Linked DNA regions of Coturnix japonica. The protein of the gene in region 2 interacts with the protein of the main gene of each other region in a pairwise test. Links are inferred from orthologs where the notes say so. Each region holds a gene or a part of one and is shown on either strand. Other genes may lie near its edges. The genes, in order: HOMER3, ABI3 and NUP58.

Evidence for each region.
Region 1: the proteins of ABI3 (region 2) and HOMER3 interact in binary tests that used the Homo sapiens proteins (3 or more experiments, as listed by UniProt). The two-hybrid records come from large-scale screens. The link is inferred for Coturnix japonica from reciprocal best matches to the Homo sapiens genes ABI3 and HOMER3.
Region 3: the proteins of ABI3 (region 2) and NUP58 interact in binary tests that used the Homo sapiens proteins (3 or more experiments, as listed by UniProt). The two-hybrid records come from large-scale screens. The link is inferred for Coturnix japonica from reciprocal best matches to the Homo sapiens genes ABI3 and NUP58.

What each region holds. Positions count from the first base shown.
Region 1 is NC_029543.1:2,742,385-2,749,232, reverse strand, and holds the start of HOMER3 (homer protein homolog 3), read right to left. Parts: upstream 4,493-6,848; 5' UTR 4,402-4,492; coding exon 4,370-4,401; intron 1-4,369. UniProt on the Homo sapiens protein: Postsynaptic density scaffolding protein. Binds and cross-links cytoplasmic regions of GRM1, GRM5, ITPR1, DNM3, RYR1, RYR2, SHANK1 and SHANK3.
Region 2 is NC_029542.1:3,002,894-3,009,677, forward strand, and holds the start of ABI3 (ABI gene family member 3), read right to left. Parts: upstream 3,917-6,784; 5' UTR 3,768-3,916; coding exon 3,657-3,767; intron 2,746-3,656; coding exon 2,578-2,745; intron 2,164-2,577; coding exon 1,987-2,163; intron 1,411-1,986; coding exon 1,328-1,410; intron 1,187-1,327; coding exon 1,091-1,186; intron 722-1,090; coding exon 537-721; intron 439-536; coding exon 310-438; intron 129-309; coding exon 1-128. Other genes in the region: GNGT2 (guanine nucleotide-binding protein G(I)/G(S)/G(O) subunit gamma-T2), read left to right, coding at 5,641-5,724, 5,927-6,052. UniProt on the Homo sapiens protein: May inhibit tumor metastasis. In vitro, reduces cell motility.
Region 3 is NC_029516.1:158,395,737-158,402,352, forward strand, and holds the start of NUP58 (nucleoporin p58/p45), read right to left. Parts: upstream 3,772-6,616; 5' UTR 3,549-3,771; coding exon 3,433-3,548; intron 878-3,432; coding exon 738-877; intron 350-737; coding exon 311-349; intron 1-310. Other genes in the region: MTMR6 (myotubularin-related protein 6), read left to right, coding at 5,605-5,628. UniProt on the Homo sapiens protein: Component of the nuclear pore complex, a complex required for the trafficking across the nuclear membrane.

The DNA.
Region 1 (6,848 bases), on a different chromosome or scaffold from region 2:
CCAAGCTGCTGGCCTCTTCTTTCCAAAAACACTACAAAGCACTTAAAAATAGTCTTGAAAGTGGCTAGGATTCAAACTGTCATGTTCTCTTTCCCACTACAGTCCTCCTTCCCCTGTGTTTTAAGTGCCTAAGCTGGGCTCACCACACATCCCTAAATGCTGCCTCTTCTTTTCCTGCTCCCAGCTGGGAGTCCCTGTAACAACTAATCCAGCTATTCCTAACATGCTCTTTGTAGCACCAGAGCACAGACTCAGCTACCTCCTTTTGTTGGTTCTCCTTAGAGAAGTTGGAAGAAAGTCACTGGATGTCTGGAAATAACATGGATCAATCATAGCTGATTTGCTCACTGAGTGGAGTTCGACCCAGTGGTCCTTAAGATGACATACAAAAATGCATGCTGGTTTCATTTGTACCTTGATTCTTATATTATTCTCATCATTACAATGCCCTAATTGATTTCTTAATGAATAGCTGCTTATTTCACCATTACTATGACAGCAAATCATTATTTGTCCTCTTATTTTATGGCCCCAGTAGAGTATTGACAACTGAGAGCCAAAGGGACTGAGTTGGCCAACACTGAGTGAGGGGCCTCACCATGATGGGATACATCCAAATGCTGCCAAGCCCCTAGAAGAGAATACCCTGCAAGCAATGCCATGTGCCAAGGAGGTACAGATGGCATCAGTTCATTCTCTTGCACCAGTGCCACGTTTCACCTGTGGGGGAATGCTGAGCTAAAGTGCCAAAATCTGGAGATTAAAACCAGTGCTGCCTCTCCAATTCTGTGTAATCTGAACACATATGTCAGTAGATTTACAGACTGTCCTTGAGTGTCCTGGATGGATACAGGCTCTTTATAGGCCTGTAAGCTTGTTCCTAAGTAAGATCTTCTGAAGAAATCCAGTGCTTCTGCAGACAGAACGTGCCAGAGAATCTCCCCTGCAACAGAAAAGGAAATAAGCCACCTCCAAGAGAAGCCTGTCCAAATGGGCCTGCAGCTGTTCAGAGGCAACACCAGGGACTGGCACCAGCTCTGTTCCCCTGAATCACTGCAATGCATATGCCACACGGGCTCATCACACCACAATACAACATCCAAGCTGAAGCAGAGCTCCTGATAACAGGGAGCTTCTCTATCCAGCTCTACTACATGGACCATCTACACCTGCAGCAGAGAGTCACCATTAATTCCTTTGCTTGAGATGTCTTTAGTGGGAGGATTTTACAGAGCACTTTCTCTAATCCTTGCTGGAGAAATACTCTCAATCCAGCAGATGGGTTTAATAACCAAACAGAAACAAAAAGAGATTCTTTTTGTTTAGAAGGCACAGACAGAGCTGGGAACAGAATTTCAACAGCACCGTGGCAGCTCCTGTGTTTCAATGTGTGCTGTCTTTGTCACACCCCAATTCCAGCTGCCTGTTGGGTTCTTTACACAGCATTGGTCTTCTCAGAGAAACAACCTTTTGCTGCATTTACTTCTGCGTAGTATTTCCAGTGCAAATACCACCTCTTTAGGAAAATCCCATTTGACAGTTACAGGCTCGCTCTCCTCAGTGGGTTCCCAAACCTAAGGGCAACTGCTAAAATGCAGCCTTCCTGCCAGACCTCGTTGAAAGGAAAAGAGGGAGAAGAATAAACCCTTTTATTATTTTCATCTTTAAACGCTCTTTGCTTCAGATCTTTTATGGCACCCAGCAACGTCTTTGCTCAGTAGCTTCTACACAGGGCGTGGGGAGGTGTTTCTGACTGCACCGCTGCATTTGGCTCATGCTTTGTGTCCTTGTTTTTCTCCATTTTTCCTGTGCAATCTGGAGGATTTTTCCTACTGAGAATCTTTTATTTTCCCCCCCATTAGTAATTCTGGCCTCACAATCCTGTCTACCCACCTAAAACACGCCTATTTAGTTAACCAAATGACTTACTACCTCCTGCCCACCTGTCCCCTTTGCTGCATGACCAGAAAGAAATCTTGCTATGTTTGCTTTGGAAAGGGAAGCTTTTAGAGTCACCATTCCCCAAACAGATGCTGCACTTAAAGCAGCAGCTGGGACGTGCTGGTGAGGCTGAGCTCAGTCCTCATTAACTGCATTTGCCTTGGTGTTCTTGGATAGGGTTCAGCCAAGGGCACATCTAGAGGTTCACATGCTGCTCCCCCTCTCTTTCACTGCAGCTTCTCTTTGCAGGGACATTCATTTACTTGTCAGAGAAAGAAGTCTCTGCATTTGGACACAGAGAGGGCGATCATTTTAAATACCTCGCTCTGCATCCAAGCAGTCTGCAGCTCCCCTTCATCTAAAAACCAAATCAGAAATGCCATATGAGAAACCACAAAGTACCCTATCAGCAGAATCATTTGTTTCTGTGAACTGTGGGCACAACATTGCACAGGTACAAGGGTAGGGAGGGGCTCTGGGGTGTGATAGCAGCGGGATACCTTTAAGAGCACAGAGACTTAGGGACGTATTTTTGCACTGTGGCTGGACTCAGTGCACAGCCATGCGAGTCCCCAGAAAAAAAGTCAACTGATAAAGGTCCATGGACAGCATTAGGTAAGGATTTCCCAGCTGCTGTGGTGAAAACTTTGCAGTTCTCAATGTAATCTTTCCTAAAGTCCTTTCTCTCCAAGGACTACTTTCCTGGATGGGTCCTGCTTGCGCAGAGCAGAAGGGGGTACGTGAGAGCATGTGAGCACCAAAGATATGTGGCTCAGCTCTGGCGCCTGGCCCAGCACCACGCTGAGTCAGCTGGGAGGCCGTGCTGGCTGCGTCAGGGCTGTGCCTGCTGCTGATCAGCAGCCAGCACTCTCTCATGTGAAAAAGCCCACTATGCAGTGCAGTACTGGGTAATTTGAGGGAGGAGATGGCTGGGACAGGCTGGGGGGGGGAATGCATTTCAGCCTGCCAGGGCCTGGTATTTCAAAAGGCAGAACTGGAGCATAGAGAGGACGTGAGAACCAGTTTCCTCCTCCACTGCTGTCTATCTTTGTTTCCTTTTATCTTCCCTCAGCAGCCTGAATAGCTGATGACTGCATGTCAGTGCTTTCTGAGGAAGTGTGGACTAACAGGACTGCAGAATCAAACCTCATTTCTTTCTCATTGCCTTTATTCTGGAAGTCTAACTTTTCCCAAGCCAGAGACTGGGTCTCACTACCTCCAAGAGCTTATGGAAGCTATTGCTTCCTCATAAACGGGTGCACAGGGTGTGCATGGACACTGCCTGCCTAGGATTTGGGTACTGGCCTGCAGGACATGATTATTATTCACTGACCTGCTGCAAAAGTTTGGGAAGGCCCGTAGCCCTTTGCTCCAACCACCAGGCAGGTTTTCAGGCCCTTTGAGCTACAGTCTTGCTTTCATTCAGTGCTGCATCATGTCACCTTGGGTGAAATGCTTAGATGCTGCTGGAGTCCAGGTGGGACCAGAAGAGGCCAGACTTCTCTATCAGCAGCCACACAAGGAAGGCTGAGCAGTGAAGCTCCGGCAGTGGGAGCTGGAAGCTGGCTGTGGGCTGCTTTCCCTGTGGCCTCCCCCAACTCCCAAGAGATTAACCAGCAGGGTTTAGCATAGGAATGAAAAGCAGCTGCCTCCTGGCCTGCCTGCAGATAAAGGGCAGCAAAGGAATCCCAGCTGAATATGCTCCTGTTGGGAACAGCAGCAAGCAGGCAAGGTCAGGCACAGAGAACGGAGATCAAGGGCATTTAAAGACATACAAATCCGCTGTTGTTTATTTTTTTCCCTCTCTCAGAAACCAGTCTCTATCTACAGAGCATTCTGATTGCTGAACACTCTGCAACACTCTGGGTGTCTGTAACACAACCTACACATTCACTTTCCTGAGACAACCATTACTTCTGCCACTGAGCATCAACAGTTCTTTCTTTTGACGCACACAGACCATTGCTGGAAGCCTGCAGAGCAATTACAGTTAGAAAACAGCAGAGCTAGACTGAAACTACACAACTCTTCTTACATTCCAGAAGAATAAAAAACCAAACATGTTCAGTAATAACTAGAACCAAAGAAGTGGACATATACATGTCCATATACAACTCCAAAATGTATTCTGCCTCTGCTTCTTCACTGGGAGCCACAGGACCCAGCTGACATCCAGCACACATGCCTGCTTTCCCTCACTCAGCTCTCTGAACTCTGCTGCCATTTTCAACCTGGACTTGTCAGAGCTCCACAAGCACAACCAGCTCAAGGGCCAGCTCTATCTGCTGCTCACAGTGCAGCGGCACTACACACAAGAGCAGGTGAACTCTTTGATAAGTGGGAAAACTCTATACTAATCGAATTATAAGTTGTATGCACTCGTGCTTCTCTGCTTATGCAGTTAGTAGAGACAAAGAAATATAAATACCTACTGAGGTCACAGCTGGGACCCAACTGCATTCACTTCCCTTGCAATCAAGTGTTATTTACAACTCTACTCTTCAGAGAGGAAGTGCTAGTGTGCTAATACACGAGTCCAAGGGCAGTTTGCCTGTGAAAAGCAGAATGTGATGTTACCAAAGACATCTAACATGGAGGAACAAAGCCCAGAATCCCTGCTTCAAAAATAAATCAACTAAAACCAAGTGCCAAACATCATTTGAAGGTGGGACACTTTTAATCCCTTCTGTATCGAGAGGAATCTAAATGCTGCTGAAAGCTACTTAATATCCCCATGTGATCAACATACAAGCAAAAAAGACCTTTTAACTCAGGAGACAAGTGGAATTGTGGGTGGAAATGTCATCTCTGGCTTAGTTTTGCTAGTGTAGTTACACAGAGTGATCTAAGCAGACTGAGATGCTGACATCAGCTCAGAGATTCAGAGCTGGGGGTCTGAAATCACAATGGATGTTAATTGTGGCTGTTCCAAGAAGGGTTCATCCCCTGCCCCTGGGAAACACACTGAGCTGTCACAAGTCATCTGCCTGCTACGCCCTTCCTGGCACTTCTGGAAGCTTTACGGTAACTTTGTGCATCACAGATGGAAAGTCAGAGGAAAACAAGGACACTTTCTGCTTTAACCTGTATCAGCACATACTCACCGACTTCAAAGGGTCTACGCCTGCTTCACACTGCTGTCACTTTTGATTCCTCGCCTCTACCTGTTCTGTGTCTTGAAGGTGTGTCTGCCTGCTCGATCATTTTATCTGGATAGTCCATAAGGGATATCAACAAGAGGAAAACAAGCCTCTAAGAATCTCACTTATTCGCCTTGTAATGCCAAACCCACACAGTTGGAGGGGGTTGATCAGACAGATCCACTGTGCTTCCAAACAGCCACGAAGAGTTTAACACACAAGAAACTCCCAACAATGTGTCAGGTCCTTCAACTTACATGACTGAGATTTATAAATAGGGCATAAATTAAATACCAGGCTAAGCTCCTATTTCCATGCCAAAATCCACTGCCACATCCACACAGCATTATTTCATTACAGGACAATCGGAGCAGAGGTTTCCAATCAGCTTTGTACCCACTCAGAAATACAAACAGGATCCATTTTTCCTGTAGTGTCAAAGTAACCACAGCTCAATAAAATCCCTTAACTCCCAACTCTTGGAGAACTTTATGTACACAGCCCAGACCCACCCAGCCACACACTTTGGGTTCTGTACATCATATGTATCACTAGAGGCTTCCCTTATGTACGTGTTTAAAGCAGTTGCAGAGATTTGCAATCATCTCCTTTCTAATAACCAAAGTAAAAAGCTAAGTCTAAACTTTCGAGCTCACGGTATGGGGGAAAACAATGCAATATAAACCCATTTCTTTTGCAGTTACGTTAAAAATAGCTCAGCTGCCATGAATAATAAATGAAACTCAAGAATAAGAAAGTGCCAGTCTCACCCCATCTTTGCCTGGGTGTCAGCTTCTTTTCTCTCCCGTCTTTTCTTCAGCTGCCTTAGCTTCTCTCCACGTTCTGATTTATTTCTCCCTTCCTCTTTCTTTCTCTGTCTCTCTCCGGATCCGGATGCTCTTTAAATTTCCTCCGGAATTTCACTTGGAAATCTGTTAGTTTTGCGGTCGGTTCCAAACGCCCGGCAACCCCCCGGTCTCGCGGGGCACCCAGGGTAGGGGCGACCCGGACCCCCCCGGCCTGCGGGAGCCCACACCCAGCGGTGGAACTCGGGCAGTGCCCCGACCGCTGAGCTCCCCAGCAGCTCCCCCTGCGTTCTGGCTCCCAGGCTCCCTCCTTCCCTTCAGCATGGGAGGGGAGCAGCAGGATTAGGTGGTGCTTTTGCAAGCGCTTTTAGACAAAGCCGTCTGCTCGCTGCTGCTCCGGCAGCCTCGCAAGTTTCTCCCCGCAGCCCAAGAAGCTCAACCACCGCTGCCGCTTGTCCTTCTGGATCGCGATTTCTTTCTTCTCTCACTCGTATTGTAGTGGGTTTTTTGGGTATTTTTCCCCCTTCTCTCTCCTATTCGCTTCCTCTCTCTTCCAACTGCCCCATCTCGGTCACATTTCTCCGCTCCTTCTCTCGACTTTATTCCAGGGGCCGGTGCCGGCTCGGCGGCACCACCTGCCGGGCACAGCGAGCAGAGCTGGGCGCAAACAACGCGGCCACAGCCGGGCACCACTGAAGGGTCTCTGGGTACCCATAGGAAAAGGAAAAACAGCAAAAACCAAACCCAAACCAATCAACCAACCAACCAACAAACCCCATGTGATCTTAGTCTGGATATATTCTATCAGAAACAGGTCCCTCCTTGTTCGGCTGAGGCACCCAGGGGTAGAGGTGCCCAATGACCACCTGCCCAGCTCACTGAGCAGAGGGCTCAAAGCAAAGCCATGAGAAAGAACAGAACTGCTCCATTTTGAACTCCATCAATGAAAGGAAAGCACACA
Region 2 (6,784 bases):
ACCTGCTTCCTCGCCCATGATGCCTTCACACCATCCATCAGAGTACCTCCGTGTGACATAGATGAGGGCACCAGGCTCGAAGGAGAGCTCATTGTCCTTCTGTCGTGTGTACGGGTAGATGGTCAGCACTGTGCAAAGAAGGGGAGAGACGCCATGGAGAAGAGTGGGGACAGCTGAGATGGGCAGGAGGGAAGGGCTGAGCCTCTGCACTGCCCTGTAGTGGGGCAGTCACATCCTCAGTGCTGTGACCACATCCAGGGCCAAAGAATCTGGTGGATCTCAGCAGATCTGACCCTGGAGCTGCTGTACCTTTATCCAAGTAGCTCTCAGGGACACATGAGGGTTCCTCTGCAGCTGGTGGTGGTGGTGGTGGGGTGAAATCCTCAAAGTTGGGCAGTGGTGGTGGTGGTGGCAGCGGTGACTCTGGGTCATTGGAGACTGTAGAACAAATTCAGTGAGAGTCAAGCGGCTCCATACAGAGCAGAGCACAGCATTTGTGTTTGAAATGAGCACCCCCCAGACACCGCAGCACTCACCTGGAAGGCTGAAGTCTGGTGGGGGCACATCCAGGTCCCCTGGTGGTGGTGGTGGTGGGAGCAGATCCCCAGGGAGAGGTGGAGGGGGTGGGATGGTGGCTGCAGCTGGGGTGGGTGGTGGTCCCGGGAGGGGTGGGAGTGGGGGTGGTGCTGGGATGCCTTCCCCAGGGGCTCCTCCACTTGAGCTGGGGATTCAGAGTCAGGTAAAAGGGGTGTATGTGTGTGTGGGGAGGCATGTCTCAGCCCTCCCATCTTTGAACATGGGTGTCTGCTCTATGCTAGAACAGGGTGACACCCAGTGCTGTCACCACGGGCAGGCACCCCAGCATCTGTGTGCAAAGCCATTTCCCCATCCTGTGCCTTAGTTTCCCCCTTGGGAACCATCTCTGTTATTTTGCTCTAGATACACACAGTGAATTTCCTGCTCTCCAATACAATATTGCTTATCAAAACCTCTCTGCAAATAGATGCAGTGGGGTAACCACAGCTGCCCTATTCCCACTGATCCCCCTCTCCCTGGTTATTCCAGACACCCCCCTGGCCCAGGCTGGTACCTGATTGATGTCAGTGAGGAAGCAGATGAAGCTGCAGAGAGCTTTCCCTCGGGAACCACGGGGGGCTGGATGGGCTCAGGGACACGAGTGCTCCTCCTGCCAACAGAGCAGGCACTGAGCCCATGCTGACAGGACACAGAGGGCAGCTGCATTGGGCAGTGCACCCCATGGCTCTGTCCCTGCTCAGTGACACCCAAGCTAAAGATTCCCTACTCTACACCATCCCAGAAGCCTCACCCCATGGTGCCTGCAGACTGTGTGGTTATCTTCATCCCTTTCCGAGACAGTGTGCCTGTCCTGGACAGCTGAGTGCTGTGATCCTGCAGGCAGAAGAAAACACATACACATGACAAGTTCATTGCACTCCATGCCTACCATGCCCTTATAGTGCCCCAAAGGCCTTTGCTGAACCCTTCTCAAAAGGATGGGGGGTGGTGAGGGGCTGCCCCAGCTAATAGAAGTAGATATTGGTGCTGATAGAAGCAGATATTGGTGCTGCTGTCTGGCATTGCCACCGTGGGAACTGCAGCCCCAGCACTGTCACTTCCCCTTCGACTCCACAGCGGTTTCACACTGTGCACGTGGCTCTGATGCTGCTGAAAACCCACAGACGCCTTCCGGTGAGGGGGCAGCTTACAGGGGCAGTTTCAGTGCTGGAACAGCACTGTGGGTGTAATGCAACTCAGCCTTAGCCAAGCAACTCTGGGACTGTGTGCCTTTATGGCATTGTCAGTGTCCCATTCCCCTCCTGCACCAAGATGAGCCCCACTGGGACAAGTCCTGGAGGAAGCATAGACAGACCCCCTTTCTCCATCCAGGAGGGGTTTGTACCCCCACCAGATCACATAAAGCCCATCTAAACCCCCATCTACCCACGGGACACCCTCCAGGCTGACCTTTATGCCGTGACCGATGTCATCCAGGATGCTGAAGTTGAGGGGTTTCCTGTAGTAGGGCTCTAGGGAGGGTGGGTTGGGGGGGGATGTGATCTTCTGGTGGGATGGGAACCTCTTACTGACGGTCAAAGCGCCGATCTCCCGACGAGATACTTTCTCCTTGTGCATGTCAACGCTCTGTGGAGGCAGCAGGAAAGGCTCTAAGGAGCCCTCAAATATCAGGAAGAAAGTGAGTGGCTGCAGGGCTCTGAGTCATTGTCCCTAGTTCTCCAAGGGGACGAGGCCAGTGTCCACCGAGGGGAGATAACAGCATCTGAGCCTATGTGACTGCTGCAGGGTAGCTCCTTGGGGGCTTCCCCAGAGGCTGCCATGGTCCCCAAACACCCAGACTAAGACAAGCCCTTAAGAACAGTTTCCCACCCCTCGGTAGTCTTGTCCTTTAGCTTCTTGGGTGACCAAGGTGCTGCAGGGGCTGACAGGCCATTAAAACCACAAGAAAAGTTGGTCTCCAGTCCCTGTAAGCTGCTCCTTTCTCAGGGCTGAAACCCCACAGCAGTACAGACCCATGGCAGTGGCTGAGGTCAGACCCACCTGGGCTACACAGCTGACATTGGCCTCCAGCTTTTGCAGCTCGGCTGCCTGCAGGTCCAGCAGCTGCAGGAAGGTGGTGGCCAGGCTGCTGACCTGATAAGCCACACTGGCCAAGGACTGTGTGCTGAAAGCCATCGTCTCCTCCAGAGCCTTCCTCTTGTCGCTTGCCTGGAGGGTGAAACACAGCTGTGATGAGCTGGGATGGCTGAGAGCACAAAGTGCCGCCGCCGTCATACCCAAACCAGGGTCACAAGGGAGCAAAGGGGCTTCCTTCTGCTTTCCAAATGCATCACAGTTCCTCCAGCTCAGGCAGTGGGACTCAGCGATGCTCAGCACCATCAGGGTGCAGTGGGAGAAGCACAGAGGGGATCAGGAGGGTCTGTGCTGTTGGGACTGTTCCAGTCCCGCTGCCAGCAGCTGGGGAAGCAGTCTCAGTTCTCTGAGCTGTTTTGCATGCTTCCCCTTCAGAGATGCAGCTGGGGGGCTGTGAACCGACCAGAAGCTTCAGCATGAGAAAACAACCCAGCCCTGGATGATGCTTAACTGAGGCAGCAGCAATGCCCGGCCATGGGACAGAGTGCAGATTCACAGCCCCAGATGGGGTGAGGGAACAACCATCACCACTCCCTTGGGTCTGCCATGGGGGAATGAGGCTACCAAGGTGGGATCCTTAAAGCACCCAAGAGACCCCCGGTCAGGGCACTGTTCCCAGCCAATGGGGCCAAACCAACCCTTTGCCATCCCCTCAGCAGGTCACAGGGACAGGGGGGAGTAGGACAGCACAGAGCCCATTGCCCACCCTATGCTGGGAAGGAGTGAGCACTGTCAGCACCTCCCAGACCCTGAGCTGCCATCCCTGCTCCCCTCCAGCACCAAAAAACCCCAGAAGACCCCCCCCACAATGTCCCACACATAACCCTGATGGCTGAGCAGAGGGGAAACTGAGGCACGAGAGAAGCTCTCAATGCTGGGCAGGAAATGAATGGGAACAGCAAAGCCTTCACCCCCACACCATCCTCCCCATCACCACCACAGACCCCCCAACCCATCCCAGCCCCACACACATCCCTACACCCCACCTGCAGGTAGTTGCTCTCGCAATACTCAGCCACACGCTGCAGGTTGTTGTGGTTATCACGCAGTCCCTGCCGTGCTGCGGGGACATCGCAGGGCTGCAGCGGCTCCGCCATAGCGCTGGGACCGGAGCCCACTTCCTCCCCAGTCTTTAAGGCGCCGAGTTTTGAAGCTCGCGGTGATGCTGACGTATTGCTTTGCTGATGCTCCGTGGGTTGTCACCTCTCCCAGCTTCCCTTGGTGGAGGTTTGGAGGCTGCAGGTAGAACCTGAAAGCTGTTGGAGTGCTGCAAGGCCGCCTACAACTGCTCTACACATCCATACTCACCCCCTCTAATTCAACCAGCCCCATCAAGGGAGTATGGCTTCTTCATGAGGCTGAAGGCAGCATGGCCATGGGTAGGGCACCATTTCCAGGTCAGTGCTGCAGTTTGGCTCCTGACAGCCCAAATTTGGTAATTTGGAGCTTGCACCTCCATCCTCTGATGGAGCCTGGGGGGCAGGGGGCCAGGCCTGGCTCTGTTGCACCCAGCAAGGGCAATTCCCTTCCCCTTGCCTTTATGGGACTGGCAGGAGGAGATCTAGCTCCAGAGTGATGCTTCCATTGCCAGCTCATCTTCTCCAGACAGCCCCGTGCCTGCACCTCACCCAGCTCAGGCTGGGTGCAGCCATCAGTTTCTGCTTAGCTCTGTTTGCTGGGACAACACGTCCCTCCTTGTGCTTTGCTAATGGTTTTTCCCATCCGCACAGGACAGTGCAAGAGGCCACAGCCAAGGGCAGGAAACTCTCACTTCCCAGCACTGGGAGGGTCCCTCATGCTGGGAATCCCCCTCTACCTCCTCCTCCTTATGCTTCCTTGGGGCCTCCTGAGTTCTGTCCTCAGCTTTAGGGCTTCACATGGGCAAAGCAAGAGCCAAATGTCCATAATTGCCCACAGCAATTAAGGTGAGGATGAGGGAAATGATGAACCAGCTCTGCTTCTCACCCCCTTAATGGCCAAGAGCCACCCCAGCTGCCTCCTGCCCCCCCCATTCCATCCCATAGGAGAAAGGGATGCTCCCTTTGCTCCCCCAGCCAGGCCCCAGGCCTACATAGGCTCAAAAACACACAGTGTGAGCTCAGGGGCTGCTGAGTGCCCCACAAAGCTCATCTCCACCCTTGCCCTTCCTCCCTCACCCTCCCCTATGGCCCCACCACTGATTACCCCAAGCTTTGAGGCTAATGCCCAACACCTGACCAGCTTATTCTTCTGAGTCTATTATCAGCTTAGGGACCAAAGACATCTGCTCCTTGCTACAGGCTGGGAGATCCAAAGGAGTCTTCAAACAGAACAGTGCAGACACAGAGGACGGCAGCTCGATGGGTTTCTGAACATCTCCAGCAGTGAGAGGGGCAGCCCCTCATCCATACAGGTAAGTGGCTTTGCTTCCTCCAGGCACAAAGGAATTGCAGGTGTTACCATCACCCCCATGAGCTGATAGCACAGCTGAGCTGCATCTTTCATCTCCTTGGGACCCATCATAAACATTGATGGGGAGAGGAGCACTGGGTATGTATGCCATGAAAACAGCCACACAAAATCAGCAGGGTTTGGGGAACAGAAGTTTGATGACTTCCAAAGCAGAGACAAGAAGCATTGCTGCTTAATCACATTCCTCTTTATGATTTAAGTGGTTGTGGCCAGGCTTTCGAGCCCAAGTTTTAATATGGGAGCAGCACAAGCCAACTCTCCAAGTCTCTCTTATAACCCTTGGATGCCCCTTCGTAAAAAATAGATGGGCTTTTCCAGCTCACAGCATTGAAGGTCTCTGTGCACACAGAGGTAACAGCAGTGAAGGGACACAATTAACCTCTTACTTGCAGGGCTGGCACAAGGAATGGAGGGCTGTTATCAGCTGTTATTTGCAGTAGCATTAGGGCAAAAGCAACAGTCCTAAAGTGCCCTTGACAAGCTTCAAGCACGTGCCATCTCTGTTGGTTACAGGGCAGAATGGCTCAGGATATGACAGAGAAGGAACTGTTGAAAATGGAATTGGATCAGCTGAAGAAGGAAGTGAAGAACGAGAGGCAAATGGTGAGTATTGCCCCAAAACGCAAAACAGAGAGTAACCTTGGCACCCTGAGGATGCTGATGGGGCACACCACAGCCAAGGGCAGCTCTGTGGGTCCCTCTCCCAGAGGCTCACATGGATTTATAGGCAGACGATGAGCAGCTCTGCAGCGACTGCTTGTTCCCATAACCCACATTGGGCGTCTCCTTCCTTCCTTCCTTGCAGGTCTCCAAGACTGGCAAAGAGCTCAAGGAATACATAGAATCCATGGCAGGAGAGGACCCGCTTTTAAAAGGTGTCCCTGAGGACAAGAACCCCTTTAAGGAGAAGGGCGGCTGTACGATAAGCTGACATCCTTCCTCCTCCTGCACCGCCCTGCTTTGAGCACAGAGCCTTTCCCATACTCAAGCCAAGACTGTCAGAAACCTGCTTTCCCTATAGTCTGACCTCAGCACCGGGGAGGAACCGAAACAAAATGTAGTTGCATCTGAAGTAGCAGCAGAAAAAAAATATAGAGGAAAAAAAAAAGGAAGAAATATTACCCCTCTGATCCCAGAGATGAGGTGAAGCAGATGGAGCAGAGAGTGTTTGTGTGCTCCCATCACTGATTCGTGGTTGGTTTGCAGCAGCAAAATGGGCTTTAATGGCACAGGTAGGGCTAGGAATGGGTACAGCTGTTACCTATTGGTACAAGGTGGGGAGTGTAGGGCTGTATTGAAACACATAGGGCTGTAACTGGACTCCAACTCCTGGCAGCCCAGCAGCAGAATGGGCTCCGAAGCCTTGAGCTGAGCAGAGAAGCATCCCGATGGGATCTCGCTCCCGTTATCTCCTATCAGTGCCTCAATTCCCCATCTGGCACAGGCAGACAAACACACTCTGCTGCCCTGAAGCTCCCAGGGATCTGATGCCTACAGCCACTGGGGGTAGGGGGGGGGGGGGGTCCAAACAACCCAAAGGAGGCACTGAAAGGAGCAAAACCTCCATCAAAAAGCTCTTCCGGATCCACCTCGGGGAACCACAAAGAAATCAAAGCCCGGTGCTTTTTGCTGTCCGGTTCTGCTTCGGCTTCACCATCCGCTC
Region 3 (6,616 bases), on a different chromosome or scaffold from region 2:
CAAACAGATCTGTTCTCTCAAAGTTCACAACATGAAGAAATTCTGACTTAAGAATTCTTTGGTTATTGACTCCACTTCTCTGCTGAAGGATGGAACTCATCAGGGGATTTAGATGCAGTCTAGCTTCTTACTGTGACTACTTATACTGTTGTACAGGAATGGAATAACCCTTTAGCTCCACTCCAGCTCACAGCAGACTGCAATGAGCAGTGAGCAAAAAGCTGGCACAAACGTTAACCTCCTACATAATAAGAACTAAACAGCTTTTTTTTTCCCCTGTAAATCATTACTATCCAAATGAGGTCCTTACCCAGAGTCAGTGCTGGAGCAATGGTTGTTGCTGTTCCTGCTTCAAGAAGAAAAAGAGTAAGAACAGTGAGGCCCACTGAGCAGTTATGTTACCAACAATCATAACTATTTATTCCAGTGCTTTGTTTCACTACATATCTTATGTTACATTACGTAGCATCTTGAAAGCAGAGTAACTGTCACATCAAGACCACTAGTTGTAAACCCCAGCTACGCAAATTAAAGCATGAAGCCTTTAAAACAAACAATCTCATAAGAATCTATTAACAGTGAAGCTGATGTAATATATGGAGTCATGACATGATATTCTGAGCTACAGATATGAGTTACAATGAAAAAAGAACCATATTATAATCCTGTTTTTATGTGCCTATGGTACATTGCTTCACCATTGCTTTACATGTCTGCTGTACAAGTGTTTTTCCTACCTGTACTGGTGCCTCCGAGTGTGAAGCCAGTGGCTGGTTTCGATCCAAAGAGCCCGCTTCCAAATCCCACTGAAGGAGCAGACGTAGTTGCCGTAGCAGTGGAAGAACCCAGAGTTCCAAAATTAAGTCCTCCTGTAGAGCTATTACAAAACAAGAGTGTTAACATTTATTATTTCCTCAAAAGGAAAAGATCCAAACCCCTTATTTCTGTCTTCTCAAAGCACAATGCAAGTACACTTGGATATGTCTAACCAGAAACCTCAACCCGTGCTACTTCATTCTGAAGCAGTAAGAACACAGATGCACCAGACCATCAGCTTTGTCCTGCTTTAGCAAGAAACAGGAACAAAACCACTTTTGTTGCCTATAAATGCAAATCACAGATGACCCATACCTACACTTCAAATATTTTCTTTTCTAAGAATACACTGCACAATCCAATTAAAGAAATTAATTCCCAGAGCTATTTTCACATGGAAGACACAAGAAAGAAAGGAGAGAGACAAGCTGGTCTCTTGATAAACTACACAAGTTCCCTTCAGTTGAGACATCTGGCACAGCGTACAACAGCAGCAATGAAATAAAGCACAGTTTAGACTTCAACGTAACAATCTTCACAGATTAAGTGTCATATGTTTAATATCCTCTCTTTATTCCCTCACCTCCTCACTTTCAGTATGAGCACAGCTCCTATATCTAACAAGTGCTCAGCACTATGGGGAAAACAAAAAACCAAACAACAGCATCAACAGAGAAACTGAAAAATGAACAAGTTTAACTAAGCCAAAACAAAGGCAAACCAGTGGCAGCATGGAAAAGCACAGATCACAGGGTTTATTTCCTACTGCCCACAGATGGAAGGCATTACCTCGGCGTGGTGGCCCTAAGGGAAAACTCTAACTTTGGAGCTAGAGCAAAACACAGAAAGGCTTAGACTGGAAGGGACCTTACACAGCTCATCCAGATCCAGCCCTGCAATGGGCAGGGCTGCCACCCACTATATCAGGCTGCCCAGGGCCCCATCCAATCCAGCCTTGAACACCTTCACTGAGAGTGGGGCAAGTCCCTTCTCACTAGTGACAAATGATGGGACAAGGGGAAATGGCCTCAAGTTGCGCCAAGGCAAGTTTAGGTTGGATATTAGAAAGAATTTCTTTACAGAAAGGGTAGTTAAACACTGGAATAGGCTGCCCAGGGAGGTGGTTGAATCGCCATCCCTGGTTGTGTTTAAGAGCCGTTTGGATGTGGTGCTCAGGGATATGATTTAGTGGAGGGTTTTTAGAGTTAGGGTACTGGTTAGGCTGCGGTTGGACTTGATGGTCTTCAAGGTCTTTTCCAGCCTCGGTAATTCTATGATTCTATGATTCAGGGATGTGGCATCCACAACTCACTTGGGCAACAAGCGCCTCACAAAGCACCATACCTGTATAAAGCTGAATATGTAGCACACAGGAATTACATAGGCTGCCATGCCGTACTCCTTTAGACACAAGAATATAAACTGTGACTGATCACAGTGATCCATAACAACCTATGATTAGACAACAGAATAAAGTCCCCTTTCCCCCAACACCTGGCAATAATGCTTTCAGCTCTGCAGAGATCAACTCATCCTACTCATGGAAATAAAGATATAAACAAAAATGCCAAGTACATCTTTGCTATTATTTTAGATATTATATATTATTGGCACGTATGATATATTTACTCTTTTTTTTTTTAAGTAGTCTAAGAAAAGTTCGATAGAATAGCAAAAAATAAACGCTTATATAAACGTTTAAATGCTACAGGAAACTTGCATCAATCAGATGAAAGAAGTTCTCAATTATAGTTGTACATTTAAGGATCATAAAGTTCCAACCCCCCCCACAAGGAGGGCCATCAATCTCCAGAAAATGCTCGTGGCTGATGGAAGGGACCCTTAAAAGAGATCAAACAAACTATTCTGTGATGATCCCATGTCCCTGCTAATTCCTGCCAATGCTTGGGGGCACGCATTGTGAATCACACCCATTTGAGATTGATGTCCTGAGTAGCTTCACTTCTAACAACTAGTTTGGCACCATCAGATTTGGGAAGAGCTCCAAAGTTCTGAGAAAGCTCCACTGGAACAGGCTTCCTTCCAGTAAAAGCACAGCAGCAAGAAAATCAGAAGAAACAGTGGCACTAACACACCTGTACGCACATATATGGAAAAGAAAAACAACCCTGAAACTCAAACTTGACTCACAGAATCACAGAATGAATCACAGAATGACCCGGGTTGGAAGGGACCTCAAGGATCATGTAGTTCCAACCCCCCTGCCTGGCAGGGCCACCAAACATACACCTTTACTAGATCAGGTTGCCCAGGGCCCCGTCCAACCTGGTCTTGAACACCTCCAAGGTGCCTCTGAGACACCTCCAAGAGACCCCTGAGCGCTAAGCGGGGCCTTTAGCAGAGCCACGCGTGGTCGGCACACAACAGCGGCACGGACGGAGCCCCGCGGCACCCGGGGCCGTGCGGACACCGTGATCCCACCTGAGGGCAGGGCCGGGACTGAGGCCGCATGGAGAGGCCGGAAAAGCGCCAAGAGACCCAAGCGTAGAGCCGCCTGCCGACCGCCCACCCCGAGGCCTACGCAGGCCGGGCCGGTAGGGGAGGCCGGCGGCAGGGCCCAGCCGATAGGGATTGAGGGGAGAAGGGCCGCGTTACCTCGGTGCGGTGGTGCCGAACGAGAACCCGCCGCCCCCGCCTCCTCCTCCAGCCCCGGCGGCAGCAGCAGCTGCGGAGCCCAGGGTGCCCGCGCCGAACGAGAAGCCCGCAGACATGGCGGCGGGAACTGAGCGGAGCGGAGCTGAGGAACGGCGTCAGGCGGCGGCGGGGTCTCGGCGGGGCGACGGGGGCTCCCGAGGCGGGCGGGGCCTCAGCGCCACATGGCGGCACGGAGCGGATCCAGCGGGAGGAACGCGGCCAGACACCGAGAGACCGAGCAACCGGGCAACCACGCAGCACAGCACTACGCGCGCACCGCGCTACGCACCACGGGATGGAGGCACCGCCACAGCCCGATCTTAAAGCGACAGCGACCCGACGGGTGCACGGCACTGAGCGTGGAGGATGGATGGGCAGCAGTCTGCTATTGTTATAGGTGTTAACGGGAAACGGGAGTCGTTATATTATATTAGGACATTATATTAATACCCTCTGAAGGCCTGTGGGCATCGTCACCCAATCACAGAATCACAGAATTATCAAGGTTGGAAAAGACCTAGAAGATCATCTAGTCCAACCATTACCAATACTTCCCGGCTAAATCATATTCATAAACACAATATCCAAACGTTTCTTGAACACTCCCATGGTTGGTGACTCCACCACCTCCCTGGGCAGTGCATTCCAGTGCCTGACTACCCTTTCCGAGAAGTAATACTACCTAATGTCCAGCCTGAATCTCCCCTGGCGCAGCTTAAAACCATTCCCTCTAGTTCTATCACTGATTACGCGAGAGAAGAGGCCAACCCCCAGCTCACTACAACCTCCCTTCCGGAAGTTACAGAGAGTAATAAGGTCTCCCCTGAGCTTCCTCTTCTCCAGGCTGAACAATCCCAGCTCCCTCAGCCGCTCCTCATAAGGCTCCAGACCCCTCACAAGCTTTGTTGCCCTCCTCTGAACACGTTCCAGGGCCTCAATGTCTTTCTTGCAGTGAGGGGCCCAAAACTGAACACAGTACTTGAGGTGCGGCCTCACCAGTGCTGAGTACAGGGGGACAATTACCTCCCTGAATCATTTGAAAACCAAGTGTTTGACGAAGGTAGGAAAAACTTCTCAGACGAAGCAGTGAGGCAGTGGCACAGGCTGCCCATGGAGGCGGTGCAGCCACCGAACCTGGAGGCGTTCAGTACTGTGTGGGTGCAGAACTGACTGATGTGGAATGTGGGTGTCAGGGTTTGAGTTAAGGCTGGACTGGATGATCTTTTCCAACCCATTTACAAGATTTGCAGCCTTTCAATACCTGAAGGGAACTTACTCCCAGGAGGGGAGTAAACTCTTCGAAAGGGCTGACAATAGCAGGACTAGGGGAAATGGTTTTAAGTTAAAAGAGGGAAGATTTAGGTTGGATGTTAGGGGGAAGTTCTTCACTAGGAGAGTGGTTAGGCCCTGGAACAGGCTGCCCAGGGAGGTTGTGGATGCCCCGTCCTTGGAGGTGTTCAAGACCAGGCTGGATGGGGCCCTGGGCAACCTGATCTAGTAAATGTGTATGTTTGGTGGCCCTGCCAGGCAGGGGGGTTGGAACTACATGATCCTTGAGGTCCCTTCCAACCCGGGTCATTCTGTGATTCTGTGATTCTGTGACCCACACTGATTCTGATTCTAGGACTGCACGCTCATTCCCTTCTCCCCCAACAGCAGCTCCTATGGAGGGCTGGACATTAGGAAGTATTACTTCTCATAAAGGGTAGTCAGGCACTGGAATGCACTGCCCAGGGAAGTGGTGGAGTCACCAACCATGGGAGTGTTCAAGAAACGTTTGGATGTTGTGTTGAGGAATATGATTTAGCTGGGAAGTATTGGTAATGGTTGGACTAGATGATCTTCTAGGTCTTTTCCAACCTTGATAATTGATTCTGTGACTGGGTGATGAGAGTGAAGCGCTACGACACAACACCAAACCCAACAGCCAACACCCCCTGCGTCACCACCAGCACAACACGGCACCACCACAGTGGCCAAGTCGGGCCGCGCAGCCTCCCGCCTCCAGGGGGCGCTGTAGGCCATTATTCCAGGCTCCGCCCGGCCCCGGCCCGGAAGCGGCAGTAGGTGACGGGCAGTAGGTGTCGGCAGCCCGGCCCGGCTCTGCGTGCTGTGTTCAGCCTCGGGGCCGTCATGGAGCACATCCGCACTACCAAGGTACCGCGGGGTGACGGTGCTGTTAAAGCCGGGATGGTTGCTTATGGGGTGGGGGTGTGGGGTGTGCTTGGGCCCATCGTGTCCCAGCCTCGCCGGGCCCCTCCAGTCTGTTTTAAAATGATGGGTTTTAGGGCTAAAATGTGTCTTTTATTATAATATTTAAGTCTGGCCACTGCACTAGGTGCCCTACAAGGTCAGTGCATGTGTAGGCATGATTTGGACTCCATTCTGACTGCTGGGAGATTAACGTGCTTTTCCTAATTGAAGTGGTAATGAGTCTTTGAATGATACAGCGTATTTTTATCTCATTATTTGATATAAGGTGATTCTTCAGTGTCTTCAGTACAGGGCATCAGAGAGAATTTTAGCTTTCCTTTCTGTACTAATTCATTTCCAACATTGAAACACTTTATTTTTTGTCTTTAATCTGTAACTCCCAGTCCTAACGAGCTGTGTGGTTATTCTCTTTCAAGGGAATTGGGTTATGTTATCAAGGTATCTGATTATGTGTATCTGTATCACTGGCTTGTTAGTGCTGGTTACAGCCAGCATGTTACTTCTACCTCCTTAAGTGAACCTTGTTAGCAGATGTGCTAAAACTCCATAGCTGTCTTCAGGATTTTGTGGCTCCATTCTCTTCAAAACTGAACAACAGATTTATAGTTAAAAAATACATATATGTAAATAAAGGCATGTCCCTGAAGCAGGTGTGCGCTTGTTGAGCCGAGTACCCATTAGAGCTGGCTGTGTGGGGTTTTACTGAGCATATCATCTATGGAGGCTGGATCTAAAATACACTTAATCTATCTGTAAGCAAAGTACATCTAGAAATTGGCCATCAGAGTTGGAAGGCTTTAAGGAGTTGGAGTGCTGATGCTGTCCTCATATCACAGAATCACAGAATTGTAGGGGTTGGAAGGGACCTCTAGAGATCATCGAGTCCAACCCCCCTGCCAAAGCAGGCTCCCTACACCACGTCGCACAGGTC